2 linked regions of the Diceros bicornis minor genome follow. The protein of the gene in region 2 interacts with the protein of the main gene of each other region in a pairwise test. Links are inferred from orthologs where the notes say so. Each region holds a gene or a part of one and is shown on either strand. Other genes may lie near its edges. The genes, in order: UBR1 and DNAJB11.

What was found.
Region 1: the proteins of DNAJB11 (region 2) and UBR1 interact in a two-hybrid assay, tested with the Homo sapiens proteins (2 studies listed by BioGRID and IntAct). The link is inferred for Diceros bicornis minor from reciprocal best matches to the Homo sapiens genes DNAJB11 and UBR1.

The regions. Positions count from the first base shown.
Region 1 is NC_080744.1:40,572,592-40,583,568, forward strand, and holds the start of UBR1 (E3 ubiquitin-protein ligase UBR1), read right to left. Parts: upstream 4,322-10,977; 5' UTR 4,075-4,321; coding exon 3,994-4,074; intron 1-3,993. UniProt on the Homo sapiens protein: E3 ubiquitin-protein ligase which is a component of the N-end rule pathway. Recognizes and binds proteins bearing specific N-terminal residues that are destabilizing according to the N-end rule, leading to their ubiquitination and subsequent degradation.
Region 2 is NC_080754.1:37,416,465-37,428,056, forward strand, and holds the start of DNAJB11 (dnaJ homolog subfamily B member 11), read right to left. Parts: upstream 5,356-11,592; 5' UTR 5,222-5,355; coding exon 5,154-5,221; intron 2,503-5,153; coding exon 2,346-2,502; intron 1-2,345. Other genes in the region: TBCCD1 (TBCC domain-containing protein 1), read left to right, coding at 11,140-11,475. UniProt on the Homo sapiens protein: As a co-chaperone for HSPA5 it is required for proper folding, trafficking or degradation of proteins.

The sequences.
Region 1 (10,977 bases), on a different chromosome or scaffold from region 2:
ACATTTAAATAAGTAAAGACAATACAGTAATTACAAATGGTCATAGGTGCAGTGGAGGAAATAAACAGGGTGCTTTGACAGAGACTGATAAGAGGAACCCATCTTTTAGACAGAGTGAGTATCAAGAAAAATCATAGGACAAACACTCTAGGAAAAAAGAACAGCAAGCTAAGGTGCAGGGCCTGAAGCAAGATAGAGCTTGGGCTTGTTTTAGAAACTAACAAGCCCAGGGTGGCTAAAAGTGAATGAGGAGAAAGTAACAAGAAATGAGGGGAGATGTAGGGGCTGGATCAGGCAGAATCTTGAAGGACTTGTAATGAGTTTAGATTTTATTCCAAGTACAATGGGAAGCCACTGAAGGATTTAGGCAGGAGACTGACATGATCTGATTTAGTCTTAAAAAGATTACTACTCTGGTTGCTCTGTAGAGAATGGACTGGAAGAGGGCAAAAATGGAAGCAAAGAGACCAATTAAGAGGCAATGCAATTGCCTAGGCAACAGATGATGGCTTGGACTAGAGAGGTGGAGTGGAAACAGAGAGAGTTGTTTCTATTCAAGAGCTATTATAGAAGTGTCATCTACTGAGACAGGGATAACAAAACTCTTGATCTGCCCCCTTCCTTTCCTCTCCCCAAACCCGGTCCTTCCTCTCAGTATATGGCACAACCACAGCCATGAATGCCTAAGCCAAAAACTGCGGACCCAGATGTCATCTGTTTCCTCCCTTTTCCCTCATGCCTAATCCATAAGCAAATCTTTTTACTTCTACAATACTTCCAAAATCTCTCTCAAATCCATCCACTTCTCTTCATCTCTAGTGACAGCTCTCTAGTACAAGCCACCATCAACTATAACTTGGGTTACTGCAGCAGCTTCCTAATTGCTCCCTGTGTTTGAAACACTTATCAGACATCCAAGTAGATACGTCAAGTAGGCATTTGGATTTGTGATTCTGGAGCTCAGAAGTGAGATGACTTAGAGATATAAATTTGGGAACTGAACGCATACAGATGATATTTAAAGCCACAGAACTGGATGAAATCACAGAGACAGAGGGCATAGACAGGGAAAAGAAGACAGCTTAGTACCCTGCCAGGAGACATCTTCTGAGATGGACCTATGAAAGAAAATCCAGTCAAAGAAGACAGAAGGCAGACGTTCTGTCAGACCATCCCACATACTCTCTGAGTTAAAATTTTTCTCACAGAGGCCAGCCTGGTGGCGAAGTGGTTGGGTTCCCGCGTTCCGCTTTGGTGGCCCAGGGTTCACCACTTCGGATCCTGGGCACGGACCTACTCCCCACTCATCAAGCCATGCTGAGGCGGAGTCCCACATAAAAGACCCACAACTCTACAACTATGATCCCAACTATGTACTGGGGCTTTGGGGAGAAAAAAGAAAAAAAAGAAGATTGGCAACAAATATTAGCACAGGGCCAATCTTCCTCAAAAAATTAAAAAAAATATTGTTTTCTCAGTCCTCATCTTCCTGAATCCAATAAACCACTTTCTTGTAGAAACTACACCCTATGACACTGCACTACTCTCACCTCCTACCTGCTTGGCTGCTCCCTTTCTAGGTCCTTCCCTGGCTCTTCCTCCATCTTCTACCCCTGAAATTCAATCATTCCAGTCTCTCCTCCTTCTTCCTCTCTCCCTCTCCCTCCCTCCCTCTGTGCATGTGTGTCTGTCTCTCTCTCTCTGCGTACATGTACACACACACACACTGTCTCTCTTTTTCTCTCTCTATCTCTCCTCCTCAAAGATCTTATCCATTCCCACAACCTCGACTGTCAATTCTATATTGAGAACTTCCAAATGTCTAGCTAAGTCTTACTCAAAATGTGGCCCACAGACCAGGATTTCAGAATCAGCAGGCCATGCTTGTGAAAACGCAAATTCTTGGACCCCACCCCAGACCTACAGAATCAACTTCTCTAACGATTCTTAAGCAATGGCTTTTATAAATGTCCGATAATTCATACCTATTATTTCACACTAATTGCATGTTAGGTGATGTTAGGAATTTGAGAGCCTTCATGCTTGTTGATAGCAATATGACAGAAAAATGACGTGGGGTCTAAGAAGGAAGTTTGATTTAAGAATAACAGAAACTATAACCAGGAACAAGATTCTAATAAAGCTGGTAAGATTTCTTAAACCTCTGTAACTGTCCCATATTTATTATTTTTGTTTTCCCTGTCTCCGAATGGTGATTTAGAATACAAATCATTCAAATGTTAAAGAATCTCTGAACTTGTTTTGCTTAACAGCAAAGAAGTAAACTGGAAAGTCAGTATCCTAGTCCACTGTCAGGATAAAATTGAAGATGGTAGCTTTAAAAAGAAAAGGAAAGTAGGAAGATATCTGGAGTCCTCAAGTAGATAGATCTAAGCCAAAAAAGTGATCATGAGGCTTAACAGTCACAAGTCTTCATCCACTTACCACCACCGTATCTTGTATTACAATTCTTTGAGCACTTGTCTTATCTGTCACTAGACTGTGAGTTCCCTGAGGCTATTACACTTCTGAAATCAACCTACTACTTTGCAAAATTCAAAGCCTTATCTAAAGAAATCTAATATTTCTTGAAGTAAAGAGTTTGCCTCCTAATTCTAGCTTTATTCCTGTACCATTATCTCCAATTCCAAATAAGTGAAGTCCAGATTGATAAGGTTTTACTGTACCACCTGGAAGGAATTAATATATCAAAGCTTTAAATCAGCACTAGTTACCTTTGGCAATACAAAATTACAGCAACACATCTGACCACAGCACCTAGTTTCTCCACTCCTTCTAAGATGTACAAAGCACAAGCTATCATTAAGACCAGATGTTTTAGTTGCTTCTAAACTTTCCCTGTCTTCTCATTTCTTATCATCTCAAATAGATGCTTCCTTCTTCAATACCAGGTGAAGAGGTTGAACTGTTTTTTGGGGTAGAGGATGGTTGCAAGCACTGCCCTAGTTGGTGGCCAAACCTTTATTTCAACTCCCTCCCTACCTGTTTTTTATCTCCCAGCCGGTCTCTTATTTCTGGAGCTCACTCTGTTCTCTCATAAAACAATGCTCAAGTGTCTGCAGGGTTAAAATACTTCAAGAATGCTTTTATTAAAACTACAAACCAGAGAAACTTCAGGAAGAGGTGTACATCCCACACTTTTCTATATGCAGCAACAAAGACAAACTGATAAACTCAACATCATGCAGTGATCAACATTTGAATATTTTCTATATATCTCCTCACTAGATGCCTGGGGACATCCAGAGCGTTCCCTAATATTACCCCTTACTCCTCAGTCAGCTTTCTCCCTGTAGCCAGACTATTGATTCAAATTTGCTCACTATCTCTGCCCTCCCCTTCTTTCAAAATATAAGGGCAAAGTATACATTCCGAAATTAATTAAAGGTATTGCTGATTTGAAATGTCTGGAAGTCTCTTCTTCACCTTTAAATAGCAGCGACAGATGACAGGTTTTTCCACTGAGGATTAGGCCTGGGGTTCTCAAGACGTTAGAATGAAGGACTACAATTTCTACACCCCATATCTTGACATGAGTTGACAGTGGCAGCATTTCCTGCCACTATCAGGCTCCACCCAGCCAGCTATGCAATACAACACTAGGTGCTGCGTCCTGGATTCCTACCACCAAGAAAGGTTAGCACTGCGTCTATAGGAAAAATGGCTCTTCCTGTAACCCCGCCTCAGCCCCCACACCAGACCCTCTAATAACATCAGCAGTTCTTTCTACTTCAGGATAGAGACACGCTTGAGCTCGTCAAGACTAATAAATGGCAAAGTCATTATCTTCCGTAGACTTGGCCTGCAGGAGTGTGGGTGATGATTAACTTTTTATTAAGCGGCTTCCTTCCAGATCAATCCATACGACTTCCCCTCCCCAGAGCCTCCATAAGGGGTGAAGTCCCACATCTTCCTGAGCGCGGTAGGGACGGACTTGGGGAGGATGGGAGGAACTTGCCCACAAAGACTTACAGACGCCAGTCGCTGAGGGTTCTGGGGCAACTCCGTGCTGACTTCCATTCTCTCCCTACCCACCGCCTCCTTCTCCGCCATCTTGAGGGAAACTGACGCCCGTAGTTCCAGACCCCCGGCCGGAGACAAGCGGAAACCTGTGACCGGTTCGAGAGACGAGGGGCGACACTTTTACGACGGCCCCTGAAGTCGAGTTTGACGCAGAATCGAAGAGCGGCTTCCGTTCCGCTTCCCGGAAGCAAGCATCACGGCGTGGCGTGTACGGCTGGAGGTTTTCCTTCCCGTAATTTCTTAATCATAGTGCTTGGTGGGTGAGTGGCTGTAAATTCGGTTTCGGTCCTGGGAACCGTTGCGTCTGCGAGGTAAAAAACAAATTCAGCGTCCATTGTGAAAGGAAGAAAATTGTGAGAGGCCAAGGACCTGTACTGGGTCTCCTGGCCCGGTTGTTGGTCTGGGTTTGTTTTGTCTCTCGACGTACCTGCAGTGGCTCCCCAGAGCCCGCAAAATGAAAAAGTACTCAAAGCTCTTCCATCTTTAGGAATGTAGTCTGTGGCCACTTGTACCTGCCACAAGAAAGCTTGAGCCCCAGCGTTTTGGGGGGAGGTGCTGAAGAAATGAAAAATTGGAAACCTTCTAGTCGTTCTTCGGTAGAGGGAAGACAGAATAAATGTGGTACATTTGCATTACGGGACACGATGCAGCTCTTTAAAAAAAACAAGATAGATTTATGTAAAAAGATAAAGATAAATTAATTGAGGGGGGAAAAACAACCAAGTTGCCACAAACTATATATTTGTGCTTACCTACATGTAAATATGAAGGAAACAGCCTGAAAGGGAAGAGAACAAACTAATAATAGTTAGCTCTGAGGACCAAGAGAGGAGGAAGGTGGTCAAGAGCTACGTTAGCTTCATTTATATTGTTTTAAATTGTTTACAAAACAAATGATGTTAAAATATTTTTTTTAACAAAGGGAAAAATAGTAATAAAGCTCATAACACTCTGGAAAGAAATAAACTGTTTGGGAAAAGATTAAGTCAGATCTTCATCTCAAATCATATATCAGAATAATTCCCAATGAATTGATGAGTTAACTACTAAAAAAGAAAGCAAATAAGTAAATATTTCTTTAATATTGGGATGGAGAAGGCTTTTTAAAGCATGACACCAAAAGCAGAAAATATAAAAAGACTGATAAGTAATTTTATCAAAATTAATAACTTACATATAAAATAAACTACACAAAGTTAAAAAGTAAACAAAAACTGGGAAGAAATGTCTACAACATTCATGACAGACTAAAGGATAAAACCCCAAATGAGACTATTCCAATAGGAAAAAGGGCAAAATACATAAATATGCAACTTACCGATTTTTATAAATGTATTTAAAAACCTATCTAGTAGGCAAATAAATGCAAATTAAGCAGAAATGGGATTCTATATATTGCCTAAAAATTTGGTAAGTTTTTTTTTTTTCTTAAAGGTAACCATTGTTGAGCCAGCCCTGATGGCCTAGTGATTCAAGTTTGGCAGGCTGCCCTTCAGCAGCCTGGGTTCGGTTCCTGCAAGGAACCACACCACTTGTCTTTTCAGTAGCGGTGCTGTGGCAGTCGCTCATATAGAAGAACTGGAAGGACTTACAACTAGAATATATAACTACTGGGGCTTTAAGGAGGAGAAAAAGAAAAAAAGAGGAAGATTAGCAACAGATGTTAGCTCATGGCAAATCTTTCCCAGAAAAAAAAAATGCTTTAAAAAAAAAAATGATAACCATTATTGGTAAGCTGGAAGGATACTCATGTGTGGTTATGTAAATTGGTAAACCCACAAGAAGACAATGTGGTAATATTCAGAAGCCTTTTTTTTTTTTTTCAGTGAGGAAGATTGGCCCTGAGCTAACATCTGTTGCCAATCTCCCTCTCTTTGCTGAGGAAGATTTGCTCTGAACTAACATCTCTCCCCATCTTCCTCTACTTTGTATGTGGGACACCACCACAGCATGGCTTGATGAGTGGTACGTTGGCCGAGCCCAGGATTCGAACCTGTGAACCCTGGGCCACCTAAGCAGAGCATGTGAGCTTAACCAATACATCACCAGGCCGGCCCCCAAAAGGCATTTTTTTTTAAATGCATACTCTTTGGCTCAGCAATTCCATTTTTAAGACTGTGTCCTAGAGAAATAATTCAGGATGCAAGTGAAATTTTAACTACATCATTACTAGAAATGGAGAAAAATTAGAAACAACTCAAAAGTCCAACAAGAAAGGATATCGGCTAAATTAACTGTAGTCACCCATGCAATGTAATACCCTGCAGCCATTAAAAATGTTGTAGAACATTGATTCTCAAATTGTGGTCCACAGACCCTCTAAGAGTTCTCAAGACTCGAATTCTGTGAAGTAAAAACTTTTTATAGTACAGTAATAACAAAGAAGTTATGTGCCTTTTTTTAAAACCATGTTGGTATTTGTACTTATAGTGCAGAAGCAATAGTAGGTGAAACTGCTGGCCCCTTACCACAAAATAAAGCTAGTGGCATCAAACTCAACTAGTCAGCAAAGTGACTTACAAACTAGGAATTAGTAATTTCTTCACCACCATGCTCTTGCAGTTAAAAAAAAAAAGTGTGTTTCTCTTAACAATGTCTGTGATGAAGCAGTAAAAATTATTAATTTTATTAAATCTCAACTCATGAGTCTTTTTTGTGTGTGTGTGAGGAAGATCAGCCCTGAGCTAACATCCATGCCAATCCTCCTCTTTTTTTTTTTTTTTGGTGAGGAAGACTGGCTCTGAGCTAACATCTATTGCCAATCCTCCTTTTTTTTTTCCCCCTTTTTCTCCCCAAAGCCCCAGTAGATAGTTGTATGTCATAGTTGCACATCCTTCTAGTTGCTGTAGGTGGGACACCTCCTCAGCATGGCTGAAGAAGCGGTGCGTTCGTGCGTGCCCGGGATCCGAACCCGGGCTGCCAGTAGCAGAGCGCGCGCACTTAACTGCTAAGCCATGGGGCTGGCCCACTCATGAGTCTTTTAAATATTCTGTATGTGATGAAGGAGGAAGCACACATAAAGCTTTCCTGCTGTGTAAAAAAGTATGATGGTTGACTTGAGAAGCACTTCTGTGATTGATTTGCTACCTGAACTGGCCACTTTTTTTCATGGAAAACCATATTTACTTAAAAGAGCAACTGACAGATTCCCTAGGGTTTTCAGACTTAGATATTTGACAGGCATTTTCTCAGATATGAACAAGTGAGCCTTTCTCTTCAAGAAAAACAACTAACAGATTTTGTTCTCTATGATAGAAATCAAGCTTTCAAATAAACATTTTGTGGAGAACTTGTCTCTGGCACTGTGAGTTTGACAAAGTCCCAAAGAAACTGGTGATGATATTAACATGTATGATTTTTTGGATATTGTATATTGAAATGTATTGACATTTGGAAGATCTGTTTAACTCACTGAACCAATATTTTCCAAATGACAAATGCAGGATGTTACTAGATCAAGCATAGGTAAAAGATCCATTCATGTTGCTGAATAGACCAATAGAATTTAATGTTATGGAGTACAAAAATTTCATTGATATGATTTCAGATTCCACGTTGAGTTGATCTTTAAGATTTTACTATTTGCCCAGCTCTGGTGTAGTTTCAAAGAAGAATATCCACAGTTATCTGAAAACACTATTGAAATATTCCTCCCTATTCCAACTATGTATCTGTGTGAAGCCAGATTTTCTTCATATACTTCAACCAAAACAACATATCACAATAGATTGAGTGCAGAAGCAGATGTGAGAACCGAGCTGTCTTCTTTTAAAGAGATTTGCAAAAATGCAAAACATTGCCACACTTTTCAATACATTTTTGGTTTGGAAAACTTATTTTTTATTTAAAAATGTTATTTATGTTAACATGTATTGAGTTGATAATTCTTATTTTAAACAAATTGATAGATATTTTAAAATTTTCTCAGTTTTATTTTCTAATACAGTGAATATCAGTAGATATAATCTACATAAAAGGAATATCTTTGAGATCCCCAACTTTTAAGAGTATGAAAAGATCCTGAGACCATATAACTTGAAAGCCATTGTTGTAAAAGCATTCTTATTGACTTGGTAAGATATTCACTATATATTATCGGTTGGAAAAAGCAAGTTACTAAAACACTATGAATCTATTTTTGTAAGACAAAAAATGCACCTAGATATTTAATGAAAAATACTAATGACCAAAGTGTTACTCTTGGGTATCCCAGGATTGCATAATTGTGGAAATTTTTATTTTCTTCTTTCTACCTAACTGTATTTTCTTAATAACTATTTATTCCTTGTGTAAAATGTTTTTTTTTTTGTGAAATTTTTGTTGTACATTATTGTTTATCAGTCCTCCTATAAGTGCATCCCTCCACCCCTTGTGCCCACCCCCCACCCCCTGGTAACCACCAAATAGTTCTATCTGTGCATGTGTTGGTTTATCTTCCACATATGAGTGCAATCATGCACTGTTTGTCTTTCTCTTTCTGGCTTATTTCACTTAACATAATACTCTCCAGGTCCATCCATGTTGTTGCAAATGGGACAATTTTGTCTTTCTTTATGGCTGAGTAGTATTCCATGGTATATATATATACCACATCTTCTTTATCCATTCATCAGTTGAGGGACACTTGGGTTGCCTCCATGTCTTGGCTATAGTGAATAATGCTGCAATGAACATAGAGGTGCATAAGCCTCTTTGGATTGTTGGTTTCAGGTTCGTTGGGTAGATACCCAGTAGTGGGATAGCTGGATCATAAGGTATTTCTGTTTTTAATTTTTTGAGGAATCTTCATACTGTTTTCCATAGAGGCTGCACCAGTTTGCACTCTCACCAGCAGTGGATTAGGGTTCCCATTTCTCCACAGCCTCTCCAGCATTTGTTGCTTTTTGTCTTGGTGATTATAGCCATTCTAATGGGTGTAAGGTGATATCTTAGTGTGGTTTTGATTTGCATTTCCCTGATGACTAGTGATGTTGAGCATCTTTTCATATGCCTATTGGCTATCTGTATATCTTCTTTGGAGAAGTGTCTGTTCATTTCCTCTGCCCATTTTTTGATTGAGTTGTTTGTTTTTTTGTTATTCAGTTGTGTGAGTTCTTTATATATTATGGAGATTAATCCCTTGTCAGATATACGGTTTGCAAATATTTTTTCCCAGCTGGTGGGTTCCCTATTCATTTTCATCCTGGTTTCACTTGCCTTGTAGAAGCTCTTTAATCTGATGAAGTCCTACTTGTTTATTTTTTCTTTTGTTTCCCTTGTCTGAGTAGACATGGAATTCAAGAAGATCCCTTTATGGCTGATGGCGAGTAGTGTACTACCTATATTCTCCTCCAGGAGTTTTATAGTTTCAGGTCTCACCTTCAGGTCTTTGATCCATTTTGAGTTAATTTTTGTGTATGGCGAAAGAAGGTGTTCTACTTTCATTCTTTTGCAAGTGGCTGTCCATTTTCCCAGCACCATTTATTGAAGAGACTTTCCTTTCTCCGCTGTATGTCCTTAGTTCCTTTGTCAAAGATTAGCTGCCCATAGATATGAGGTTTTATTTCTGGACTTTCAATTCTGTTCCATTGATCTGTGTGTCTGTTTTTGTACCAGTACCATGCTGTTTTCATTACTATCGCTTTGTAGTATGTTTTGAAGTCAGGGATTGTGATGCCTCCAGCCTTGTTCTTTTTCAGGATTGCTTTAGCTATACGGGGTCTTTTGTTGCCCCATATGAATGTTAGTATTCTTTGTTCTATTTCTGTGAAGAATGTCCTTGGGATTCTGATTGGGATTGCATTGAATCTGTAGATTGCTTTAGGTAGTATGGACATTTTAACTATATTTATTCTTCCAATCCAAGTGCAAGGAATATTTTTCCATTTCTTTATGTCATCATTGATTTCGCTCAATAGTGTCTTATAGTTTTCATGGTATAGGTCTTTCACTTCCTTGGTTAAATTTATTCCTAGATATTTTATTCTTTTTGTTGCAGTTGTAAATAGGATTGTCTTCTTGAGTTCTCTTTCTGTCAGTTCGTTGTTGGTATATAGAAATGCAACTGATTTCTGTAAGTTGATTTTGTACCCTGCCACTTGGCTGTAGTTGTTGATTATTTCTAATAGTTTTCTAATGGTTCTTTAGGGTTTTCTATATATAAGATCATGTCATCTGCAAACAGCGACGGTTTCACTTCTTCGTTGCCTATTTGGATTCCTTTTATTCCTTTTTCTTGCCTAATTGCTCTGGCCAGAACCTCCAGTACTGTGTTGAATAAGAGTGGCAAGGGCCGGCCCCATGGCTTAGCGGTTAAATGGGCGCCCTCCGCTGCTGGCAGCCCGGGTTTGGATCCTGGGTGTGCACCAACGCACCACTTCTCTGGCCATGCTGAGGCCGTGTCCCACATACAGCAACTAGAAGGATGTGCAGCTATGACATACTACTGTCTACTGGGGCTTTGGGTGAAAAATAAATAAATAAAATTATTAAAAAAATCATTTAGCAAAAAAAAAAAAAAAAGAGTGGCAAGAGTGGGCACACTTGCCTTGTCCCTGTTTTCAGAGGGATGGCTTTCAGTTTTTCCCCATTGAGTATGATGATGGCTGTGGGTTTGTTGTATATGGCCTTTATTATGTTAAGGTACTTTCCTTCTATACCCATTTTGTTGAGAGTTTTTATCATAAATGGATGTTGGATCTTGTCAAAAGCCTTCTCTGCATCTATTGAGGTGGTCATATGGTTTTTATTCCTCGTTTTGTTAATGTGGTGTATCACATTGATTGATTTGTGGATGTTGAACCATCTCTGAGTCCCTGGTATAAATCCCACTTGATCATGGTATATGATCTTTTTAATGCATTGCTGTATTCAGTTTGCCAATATTTTATTGAGGATTTTTGCATCTATGTTCATCAGCAATATTGGTCTGTAGTTTTCCTTCTTAGTGTTGTC
Region 2 (11,592 bases):
GCAGAAATGGCCAGAGTTAACTTAAAAAGAAAATCAAAACACTTTTTATCATGCAATCTGGATTTCCAATATTTTCACTTTCAAGCCTACTTCTCTGGTCTTGTTTTGGCAAAGAGAAGAACCCCACATTTGGGCCTATAAGAAACACCATTTCAAAACCCCCAAACAAAGACTATTTTTAAGTCAGTTTCTTTTTGGACATCAGAGGCTTCTGTAGTAACTCCCCAAAAACTACCCTTAAAGTTATCTATTATCATTCACTTCCTCCTCACTTTTCTTCTGTCTAAAGAATGCAATTTTATTCCATGGTCTTGGAAACTATTTTATTAAAAAAAAATAAAAAAGGTTCTTAGTTGATTGGCCAATCAATCCACAGAGTCTCAACTAATCAAAATGCTAGAAGTAATCCCAGCTCAGTAGAGAAGACAGATTTGTATTCACAAAAGACTCTTCAACTTTAATGGGATTCTGATTTATGAACACTAATTTATCTAAGGACCAAACGCAATCAAGTGAATGATAAAAAGAAAAAAGAAAATTTGAGCTAGTGACTAGAAAGGTTCTTAGAGTTAAATAAACTGCAATCTCATGAATGATCTGTGTATAGCCTGCCTAGGTCATGGCTAAAGAACATGGCAGATTCTATACAGAGCATGGTAAATTCTTAACAACTTCCCTAGAAAATATTTTTGAGTACTGGTTCCTAGCAAACAATGGGAATATTCATGGGAAATACAGTGCAAAATATGGAATCCATATACCAACAAGAAACAAAATGTTACATATAATTTAACAGGGTCCACCAACCCTCTCAAGTTTATTTGTGGGCCCCTTGTGAGGAATTTTAGTCCTGTAGGATGCCTGAAGGTGTCAAGATTAGAAAGATGGACCCCATTAGTTCTAGGTTTCAGCTGTATAGGTCACTGTTTTAGTTCACTCTTTTCTTTAATCTAGGAGGCCTTGGAATCCTTCCTTTTGGGTTTTTTCCACTACTAAAATATTGTTCAGATTTGTTTCCAGCCTTCTCACCATACACGGATTTAACTTGAATTTGGAAGTTTTAGCTCCATGACTTTTGGAATTAAATTTGTTTTTCTGTGCCCTTTTAGAAAACGGGAATAAATGGTGGCTAGAGTTGATAACACTGTATTGTATTATTGAAATTTGCTAAGAAAGCAGAACTTAAATGTTCTCACCAAAAAAAGGATAAATATGTGAGGTGATGGACGTGTTAATTAACCAGATGGGCTGAATCCTTTCATAATATATATGTATATCAAATCATCATGATGTACACTGTAAATATCTTACAATTTTGTCAATTATACCTCAATAAAGCAGGAAAAAAAACAAAACCAAGATCTCTTATTCTATTTCTAAAGGAAAGGTGAATTGCAACACATACAAAAGAGCTAACTCCTAAATTAATAGATGTGAAAGATTATCAATAGCTTATTTGTAAATTTTTTTACCAAAGTGTTGACAGGTTCTGTGTATAACAGTTTTTCAAGAGTAAACAGTTTATTAAGCATTCAATAAATATTCTTTGGTGTTGTTTAAAAAAAATGGGAATAAGAATATGCCCAGCTCTACTCTATTTCACAGTGTACTAGTAAAGATTAAATGAGATGATACACATGAAGGTGTTTTGACCTCTAGATTAGAGGTTCCAAATTCAAACTATAGCTGTGTTTTGTTTGATCTGCGTGAAAAGTAATTTTTAAATTCAATTAGTTACCAAAATTTTACAATCAGGAGAATCTATATAAAAATCTGGATTTCCACTTCTCTTGAAAAATTAAATGATCTGGCAACACAGTGTTTGCATTTGTATATGGCAAAAACTGGCTAGGGTTGAATAAGAGCTACTCCCTTGAAATGGGGCAAGGAAGGTGTCAGTCTATCACAGTCCTCATCAATATCTGTTGATTCCCAAAATGGAAGTAAGAAAATCCACTGTCATGTTTTATCTTATACCTGCCCTGCATGTTATTTGTCTGGTCCATATGGGCATATGGTTTGCAATCCTCATTTAGATTTTGTTTCTCTTTCTGGCTCCAGCTCCCAAACTGACTGCCTGATGATCAATCAACTTATTAATCTATCAATCTTCCTTTCTTTCTTTCACTCACCTTTTTCAACATTATTCTCCTTAATAAAACAAATACTAATATGAAAAAGGCAGGAAATGGCATTTACTAACATGAATGTACAACATAGCACCACACAGTACTTTTACTTTTATCTACTGTCTATTTTTAAAAAGAAGAAGTGTTACTCTGTGTTACATGGTCTTTTCTGTATCCGTAGGTTTTATTCATACTTTACCCTTTTTCCTGACTCACCTCATAAGCAGCACCCAGATCCTGGAACTTCTCCTGTGCTCGTGGATCATCAGGGTTCCGGTCAGGATGAAGCTGCAGGGCTAGTTTCCTGTAGGCCTTTTTAATATCCTTTATAGAGGCACTGCGAGGCACCCCCAAGATCTTATAGAAATCTCGCCTGGGGAGGGGGTAGACAAAGAGGATACTTCATTAAAGAGTTATACATTACATTTTTAAAGCAAAGCTTTTTCCTTTACATTTAGGTTTACGTCTGAGCAAAGATGTAGGAAAATGAAGGTACACATGTAACACACATACACAAAAAAGAAAGACTAAAAAGAGAACACATCATAATTTGTAATGAGTCTTAAATATTGAAGAAATCACAAGATTTCTTCTTGTGATTTCTTCACAAGCCTCTTCAAGAGGCTATGTATTTTTTGAACAATGCTAGAATTATTCAAAACATCTACAGAATTCCTTTAGTCAAGAAAACCATTTTCTTATTTTATGGCCACATGTTCTTTTCAACCAATAACGGTATAATCAAATTAACTCTCTCCTTCTTCTCCCTATTACTGACTTCAAATGACTTTTGACTGTTTCCAAAGGTCAAATAATCTCAGAGGATGACTTTCTTTATTCAAAAAGATTATGTCACATAAATGTTCTGACTACCAGCAGCACTGTTGGAATGTTAAAGATGAAGTGACTGAAGTTAACTTCAGAGGTTAATTTAGAGGTTAAGCCAAAGCCCAAATAAGAACCTTGAAGAAAGAATTACACCCATTTGGATGTATGAGTTGTGGGGTTTTTTGCTGAGAGAAAAAATATCAATCTTGCAGTCATTGCTAGCAGTTATACGAGTTTGTCTAGGTCAAGTCTTAATTGTAGACAGCTGCTGAAGCCCGTATGCAGGAGCCTGTAAGCCTCAGCAGCTGCAAATATGCATATGGCATGAGCGTGGAGATAAGGTAGAGATCCACTGACCTCCTTGCCAGGGACTATGCTGGAACCAAATTAATTGTAAAGAGAATCTTTGCAAGAAGGGCCAATGCGAAGATAGAATAAGACTATAATAAACTTTCAGGGCAGGGACTGTTTCCAGCCCATAGAAGACACCAATAAATATTTGTTGAATGAAATGAATAAATAAGCATGCCCACAAAAATCTATTCCTTTTGCCAGAGTCACTTTAGCCACCAGAAGTTATTCTGAAAATGCCTTCTTCCAAGAAAAGGGATAGGAAAGTTGTTCACAATGGAGACGCTGATGTAGTAGTGATGGTAATTTTAAAATGCAGTGGGGAAAAAATGCATTGGGGTACTGAGAGCCAGGTGATGTGAGACAGAATATTAAAAAAATTATTTCATAAGCTCTTAGTCACACTTAGGAAAATCATTTAATCATTTCATGTATAAGTTTTTAAAGTTATCACCCAAAAGGGGTTCCACGAGGATTAATTAGGTGCTTTATGCTCCCCCTAAAAATGCGAAAACTTGATATCTCTTGTGACAAGAACTAAATAAATTGAAAGGTTCATTAAAATTAATAACAAAAGAGCTAACTGTATAAAGAATGAGGCTTACATAGAATATGCTTAATAAAAAAATGGTTAAGTAACAGCTCAGAAAAATACAAGAAAAAGATGGCTGGCATAGCTCAGCATCAACATTACAGTTTCCAAGAGACTCCTTTATGAAGGACTGAAGTTTAAAGTGACAGTATTAACAATATTTATAGAGACATTTTGTTTAAACACCTTACAGTACTTGTTGCTTTTAAATGTAAAAAGTACTAACAAAAACGTACTAAGAAAAACAAAGTATTACCTAGGAGAAGTTAATTTTTTTTAGAAATTTAAGATGTTTCACAAGAAAAAAAATAACTATAAAGTTTAAGCATATATGAACAGGGAAAAAATTTTTAAGAGAATAACAAGCACTTAAATGTTAAAGCTCTGCTAGGTAGCATCTTCTCCATTTAGAGCAACCTATAAGTTATTAGAAGCTAAGACCTTACTTCCCAACACTCTAAAATATGAGCCTTGCATATCATATCCTGTGGTCACCAGGCTTATGGGATCATGGATCTTAAAGGCTGGAAAGATCCTCGAGTTCAGGCGGTCCTACTCCCTTCAGACAGGTGGTGCATTATCACCCTCATGTTACAGATGAGAATTTAGGTGGTTCCTTCAAGGTCATATAATTCATAAATGGGGTGGGAGTGTGTAGGCTAAAATCCCAGTCTACTATCTGTTGATGAAATGCTCTTCCCGCTCATAATAGCATTCAGCTTCTCAAGAATGTACCATGGAGAGAGACAGTGAGGCACGAAGACAGTTTAGGCTCCTTATCTCAAGAAGCTGGGAAGTACAAGGGCTCTCCAAAGGGTCTGCCTTGCTCCCTCAATCCAATTTCCTTCAGTCCCAGGATGGCTTCCCTATCTGTTCTCCCCTTCCTCACTCGGCCTAGCATCATAACCCACCCACTTTAAATGACAGTCCCTCAACGGTTCGTGCAGGATCAACACTGTATCGTCCTCTTCTCTAGCTCAGCACACCCCCTCCCACCCAACACATACACGTTGTGTTTGGCACTGCATCCAACTCCCACTCCTCTGGGCAAATCTAGCTCTTCAGGGCCCGTGGATCTAAGCTCCTCTCCATCGTGTCACGCACTGCTCTCCTCTCCACCCCATTAGCCTGGCCCACATTACCCATTCCTCTGTCTCACCGCCTCACCACAGCAATGCCCTCTCCCTCCCCCAGCCTCCTCCCCAGCCAAGACTGACTCGCGGGCCCCGTGCCCACAGGTGCCTGTTCCTCACCCGGCGATCACAGCCCCGATGAGGTACAGCAGCAACAGGCAGAAGGTGCCCAGGTTCTGCGGGGCCATGATTTCTCTGTGCCGGTCCCTGTGCCGGCCCCTGTCCCACGCGCTCCTCACAGCCTCCTCCGCCGCCGCGTCGGCTCGCCAGCCCACCCCGCCCTGAGAAACCACCTCACGCCGGGGTTTCCCACTAAGGCCAGAGCGACAGCTAGCTTGCCCCCTCCTCTGCCCCTCCACTTCCCGGGAGTCCCGAGTCCCAGTGAGAGAAGCCCCCAGCAGGCGAGAGCCAATCGCTGCTCAGGACATCACACGCGGCCGGTGCCTCGCAGCCAATCAGCGCAGTACACTTCACCTTCGAGGCGGTGCGGGCGGCCAGTTAGGCTTCGGAACTGCAGCCGCAGCTCCCGGCCAATGAGAAGAGGAAACGTCAGATAGTCGCGCCGCCGCAGGAATCCGGCACCCCGGCATCCGCGAGTCGTAGAAAACTACGTAAACGGGTGGGGGGAAATGGTGCCAATAGAGGACACCCGAGGTACACGAAGTTTACCCCGCCCGCCTCCTCGGACTCTCCACCAATCACGAGGCTCCTCCTCCAGCATTAACCAATTGCGGGAGGGACGTTTTATCTCGGTTACAAGTCTCGGAATTTCATTCATAATGAGCTACGCGCTGGATGCGAAGGGGCGGAGGGACTAGGGCGAAATGGGCGGGGACAATTACTCCAGGCCAATGGTATGGCGGACGCATCGCTTGGGAGATCTTTTTTCACCTTCTCCTAACAAGCCAAGGAGAAAATTGTCTCTGTTTCACAGAGGAGAGGCCTGGTACCTCAGAGAGAAGAGGCCGTGGAGGCAGAGAGACTTAGCTTCGGATTCAGCTCCCACCACTTCTTAGCGGTGAGAACACCTCCGTCCCTCGCCTCCCACTTTAGCCAAGCTTCTTTATTTACGAACCTGAGGCAAAACATTTACTGGCAGTGGTGTGAAATTTTAGGGGGAGAAAAATTTGTAAACCGTCTGGCACACTGTAAGCACGCAACGAATAATAACTTATCACAGTTACGAGAACTCTTTGATTCCCCCCACCTACTTTTGCTTATCTCAGTGAACGCACTACCTAGTTGTTAACGACAAAATTCTAGGTGTCTTCCTTGATTCCTCTCCTGCATCCCCTATCCAGATCTTTGCTCTTAAACTATATCCTGAATCTGCCCGCTACTGTACATCTCGACTACCTCTCTGGGCCAAGTCACATCATCTCTTACCTGGCAAGGGCCTCCTAACTGGTCTCCCTGCCTCCACTCTTAATATCTCTTGTTCATTCCTGCCCCCCACCCCATGATTTTTTTTACAAACATGTCAGATCGTGTCATTCCCCTGCTTCAGACTCGAATGGCTTTTCAGTGCACTTAGAATAAAATCCCAACTTTTTATGCTAGTTTATAAAACCTTATATGTCTCAATAAAGCTGGAAGAAAATTTTTTAAAAACCTTATATGATCTGTACCCTCATCTAGTATACTCCTTACCATGTTCCAGCAAAACTGGTTTCCTTTCTCTTTTTTGAATACACCAAACTCATTCCTGCCAATGGCGTTTGTTCTAGCTGTTCTCTCTGCCTGAAACACTCTTCCCTTAGATCCTAACATAAGTGACTCCTTTTTAAACTCAGATATCAGCTTAAATGTCACTTCAGAGAAGACCAACCAATCAAAATTAGCCCCTGCTGAGTCCTTTTTTTTTTTTACTTTTGCTGAAGAAGAGTCCCTCTGAGCTAACATCCGCTGCCAATCTTCCTCATCTTTTGTATGTGAGCCGCCACCGCTGCATGGCCACTGTCAGACAAGTGGTGTAAGTCTGAGCCCGCGAACCAAACTCGGGCCACCAAAGCAGAGCACGCGGGACTTAACCAATAGGCCACCAGGGCTGGCCTGAGTCCTTATTCTTACACCACCCTATTTTATCTTATTGTTTCTACCCCTGACCCCCACACTCACATACACTGGAATGCCATTTTCATGAGACCATGAATCTGAACTGTTCTCTTCACATCTGTGTAGAACCGAACCTTAGAACAGAGACTGCCACCGAGTAAAAAGTTGCTTTGACTGTGATCTTCATATGCTGGCTTCTTATTCTTCAGGCTTCAGCTCAAATTTGGCACTGATCCCCTTACCCCCAAACTTCATAGCATTTATTAATATCTGAAATTATCCTAATTTATTTCCTTAATATGTATTATCTATTCTCCCTATTAAAATATACACTCCAAGAAAGCAAGGACCTTATCTGTTTTGTTCACACTGTAATCCTAGTGCTTAGCACTGTGCCAGACACACAGTGGTGCTCAGTAAATACTTGTTGCAGAAAACAAAGGCATAGAGAGATGACAGAATCTGTTGAAGGTCACTGAGCTACTTAGTCGTGCAGCTTGGATCCTAACCCAGATCTGTTTGAATCCAAAGCCCATGCTCTTCACATAGTGACTCATGCAGAGGTAAGAGAAACACAGCTTACTGCTTTCAGGAAGTGCCTATTAGGGGAGAGAGGCCACGTAAAGGAAGAACTAAACTTCGCTTGATGGCCTTATTTACCTTTGTATCTCCCACATCTAGAGAGTCCATAAACGAACTAAGAAAGCAAGAAATGGCCAAAAATCATGAAATGAAGGTTTAGAGGAAGGAGTGAGGTCTTCTGCTGGGTGGAATGCAAACAAGCTTCATGAAGGTGGTAACATGGCGAGAAAGCTAACAGAATTAAGGAGCTAACCCTGGGGGCTCTCGCCGGCCTGGATTTGTATCTTGGCTCCTCTCTTGCTGTGTGCCCTTAGGGGTGTGTTACTTTCACCTCTCTACGACCTAGTTTCCTCATCAGGAAAACAAATGTACTTAACTTAAAGGGCTCGTGGGAAGACTGAGATAATACAAAGGGGTTTTACACAGTGTCCAGCCCATAGTAAGCTCTCTATAAATGTAAGCTGTCATTATCATTATTATTGCTGATCAAAGTGTGCCGACCCTACCAGCACCTATTGGCTACCACAGTTCCGTGGAGCAACAGAAAACTTCCTACTCCCCTGAGTTGAAAGGCGCGACACCAGAAAGCGGTGGGGTCTGGCTCCAGGTCCCAGCATCTCTTGGCCTTAGCCAAAGTTTCCGCAGACCGCGGGGGAAGCAGTCGGCCGCTCTAGCAGCGTAGTCCTCCGGGTCTCGGTGATGCGAGGCCGCGCGCTTGCGCGGTGGCTGAGGGGCGGGCCAGGCGAGCAGGGCGCGGCGGCGCGCGGAGGGTCGGCGGAGCGGCGCCTGCCTTCTCAGGTAACTCGCGCGGGCTGGCGCCTGGGAGGGAGAGGTAGGCCCGTTACGCTTCAGGCTCGGGCTGGGGAGGCTGCCTTCGTGCTCATCAGGTCTCGGGTCCGCCAAGCACCCTGACACGCGGGGCTTCTCTGTTCCCGAAGTCCGGTCGGGGCGCTTTGGCGGCCCTCGCCGCGCCCGCTCCCGGACCGCGCCCGCCCCTGGGACCGCGTCCTACCCCGGACAGCGTCCTACCCCGGACAGCGTCCGAGGTGGCGGAGAAGCCTCAGGAGGACCGCCTTGATCCTCACGCCGATCTCCCCGCCCGAAAAACCCTGACCCCAGCGCACCCCGGGGAAGCTTTTGAAGAGGGAAAGAGCCCCGGTTTATGTGTTTACGAATGTAGCCCTCTCGAATCTCGGAGGTAGAATAGACGGTTCATCCCCGGGAGCTGGCTTTTGATGGCACACTTTAGGGACAAGAGCTCAGGCCTCACGCAGCAGCCTATTTCCATTTGGGGGCGAACCAGGATCTTCCTCACGTCACTTCCATCGTCTGGTTTTACTCGGAGCGACGCTAAGCCATTCCCATGTTTAAAGACAGCTGCCATTTACCCTCTCACACCCTTCTTTTGTGTTCCTGCTCCCGTGTTCCTTCACCTGGCCCTTATATGGCCTCACGTCTAAGGCCACTCATTCTGGTAATCCTCTCCTGGATCCCCGCCCATTTTTCAGAGATTCTCCCAAAACTGGGTTCTTAAAGTACATTTGTAAATAACACAGTTCTCAGATCAGACAGACTTGAATTCTAATCCAGGGCTGTGCCAACATAAGTGTGTGACTTTGGGTAAGTCCCTTCTCCAAGCCTCAGTTTTCTCATCTGAAAATGGGGATAACTGTGTGTATCTCCAAGCGGTTGTGAGGACGAGAGGAGGTGAAGAACACAAAATATTTAGCATGCTTCCTGGCACATAGTAAGCACTGAATTGATATCAACTATTTTTTGAACAGATAATTCCCCAAAGAAGGACGATTTTTTTAGAATCAAATGCAAAATATAATAATAGCAATAAAACATTTTTCATCACTCATGTAAGGATGTTTTTTTTTTTTTCTGAGGAAGATTGGCCCTGAGCTAACATCCAGTGCCAGTCTTCCTCTTTTTGCTGAGGAAGATTTAGCTCTGAGCTAACATCTGTGCCCATCTTCCTCTGTTTTGTATATGGGATGTAGCCACAGTGTGGCTTGATGAGCAGTTTGTAGGTCTGGGCCAGGGATCCAAACCTGGGGGTCTGAACCTGCAAAACCCCAGGCCACTGAAGCAAAGCACGGGAACTTAACCACTAAGCCGCTGGGGCAGCCCCTGAATATGGTTTTTTAAGTGCTGTTACTTAATGCTGAGGAGTGTTCAATGAAGAGGGTACCTTGGTCAAATGTTGGTACAATTTGATAGTCATTTTGGAAAGCAGTAGAAATACGTGTCAGGAGCTTCAGAAAGGTCAATTACTTCATTTCACAAATGCACATCTGAAAATTTTCTCTGGAAAATAATCATAATGCAGAAAATATGTAGAAAGATGGTAATTTAGCATTTTTTATAATAATGAAAACATTTAAACTTTTTATAGTGGAAAATTTTAACATACACAAAAGTAGAGTAGGTAAATGAACCCTCATGTGCTCATCATCCAGCTTCAACAATGATCAATATTTTGCCTATCTTATTTTTGTGAAAAATTTTAAAACTACTAAATATCTGAAAATAGGAAAACAGTTGAGTAAACTGAGGTACATTTGTTTAGAGTGCTATGAAGCTTTTAAAATAATACAGATTGTATATATGGTATTATCGCAACTATGAAAATTCAAAAACCAACATCCAGTCTGTGTAGAAAAAAAGACAAGAAGGAAGTACAATAAAATATTAACTAATTTCCCTTTGATGGTGGGACTGTGGATGATTTGCTTCCCTTCTGTTTTTAGATATTTTATAAATATTCCATAAAATAGTGTATTGTTGTTATAACGAAGAAACAATAAAAAAAATCTAAAAATACCGCATCTGAACGAAGCGCAATAAAATATGCCAGAGCAGGTTCACTGTTACAGAGAATAAAGATTCTTTAACTTCATCTGTTTTTGCAGCCTACATTTACACGAGCATTCTTGTCTGCCACCTCCTGTTAGCGTTTCATATTGAGCTTATATGGTCGGCTAACAAATCTTTAACCAATTGTCCTCTATGTGTAAGTGATTTGACTCTGAAAATTTTATTCCCCTTATTTTGACTAGTGTTCGCCTAAGAGTAGAGCAAAATTTTCTATGATAGGCTGACCCTTTTCCCCATTTCTTCTTTTCTTCTTGTCCTGAGGAGAGATCCAACTTATACCTCTTGCATTTACACACTCTTTCTAAAGCAATCACTTGGAACAATTCAAGTAGGATAATTTTGTTTTATCACAAAATTTTTCTTGCTCAAATAGATTATAATGAGATCTGACCAAAAATCTATTCTGCTCTTGGTTGATGAACTAGATCTGCTTTTTAAACTGACATAGTACATTTAAAAACGTTAAAGGAGGGGTCATGTTACCAGAAAATGTACAAATGAGTTTTGTTTGGAATCAGTTTGTGAAGAAACTTTGTTTCCTAGGTATGCAAAGAAACCTTTTCACACAGATGTCCTTAGAGATAACATGGATCAGTCCGGAGTTCTCCTCTGGGTGAAAGCAGAACCTTTTATAGTGGGTGCCTTGCAGGTCCCCCCTCCATCCAAGTTCAGTCTTCACTATCTCAGGAAGATATCTACCTATGTGCGAACCAGGGCCACAGAGAGAGCTTACCCACGCCTGTACTGGTCTACATGGAGGCACATTGCATGTGGGAAGCTGCAGTTGGCTAAGGATCTGGCGTGGCTTTACTTCGAAATATTTGATAGTCTTGCAGTGAAGACACCGGAGGAGCGCCTGGAATGGTCTGAGATTCTGTCCAACTGCATGTCTGAGGATGAAGTCGAAAAGCAAAGAAATCAGGTCTGGTTGTATATGTATATGTATGTTTGTATATGTATGTATGTTATGTTTCCAAAACAATAATGTTACAGGAACCCTGTAATTGAAAGAGGGAAATACTTTCATTGACTTTAAAAA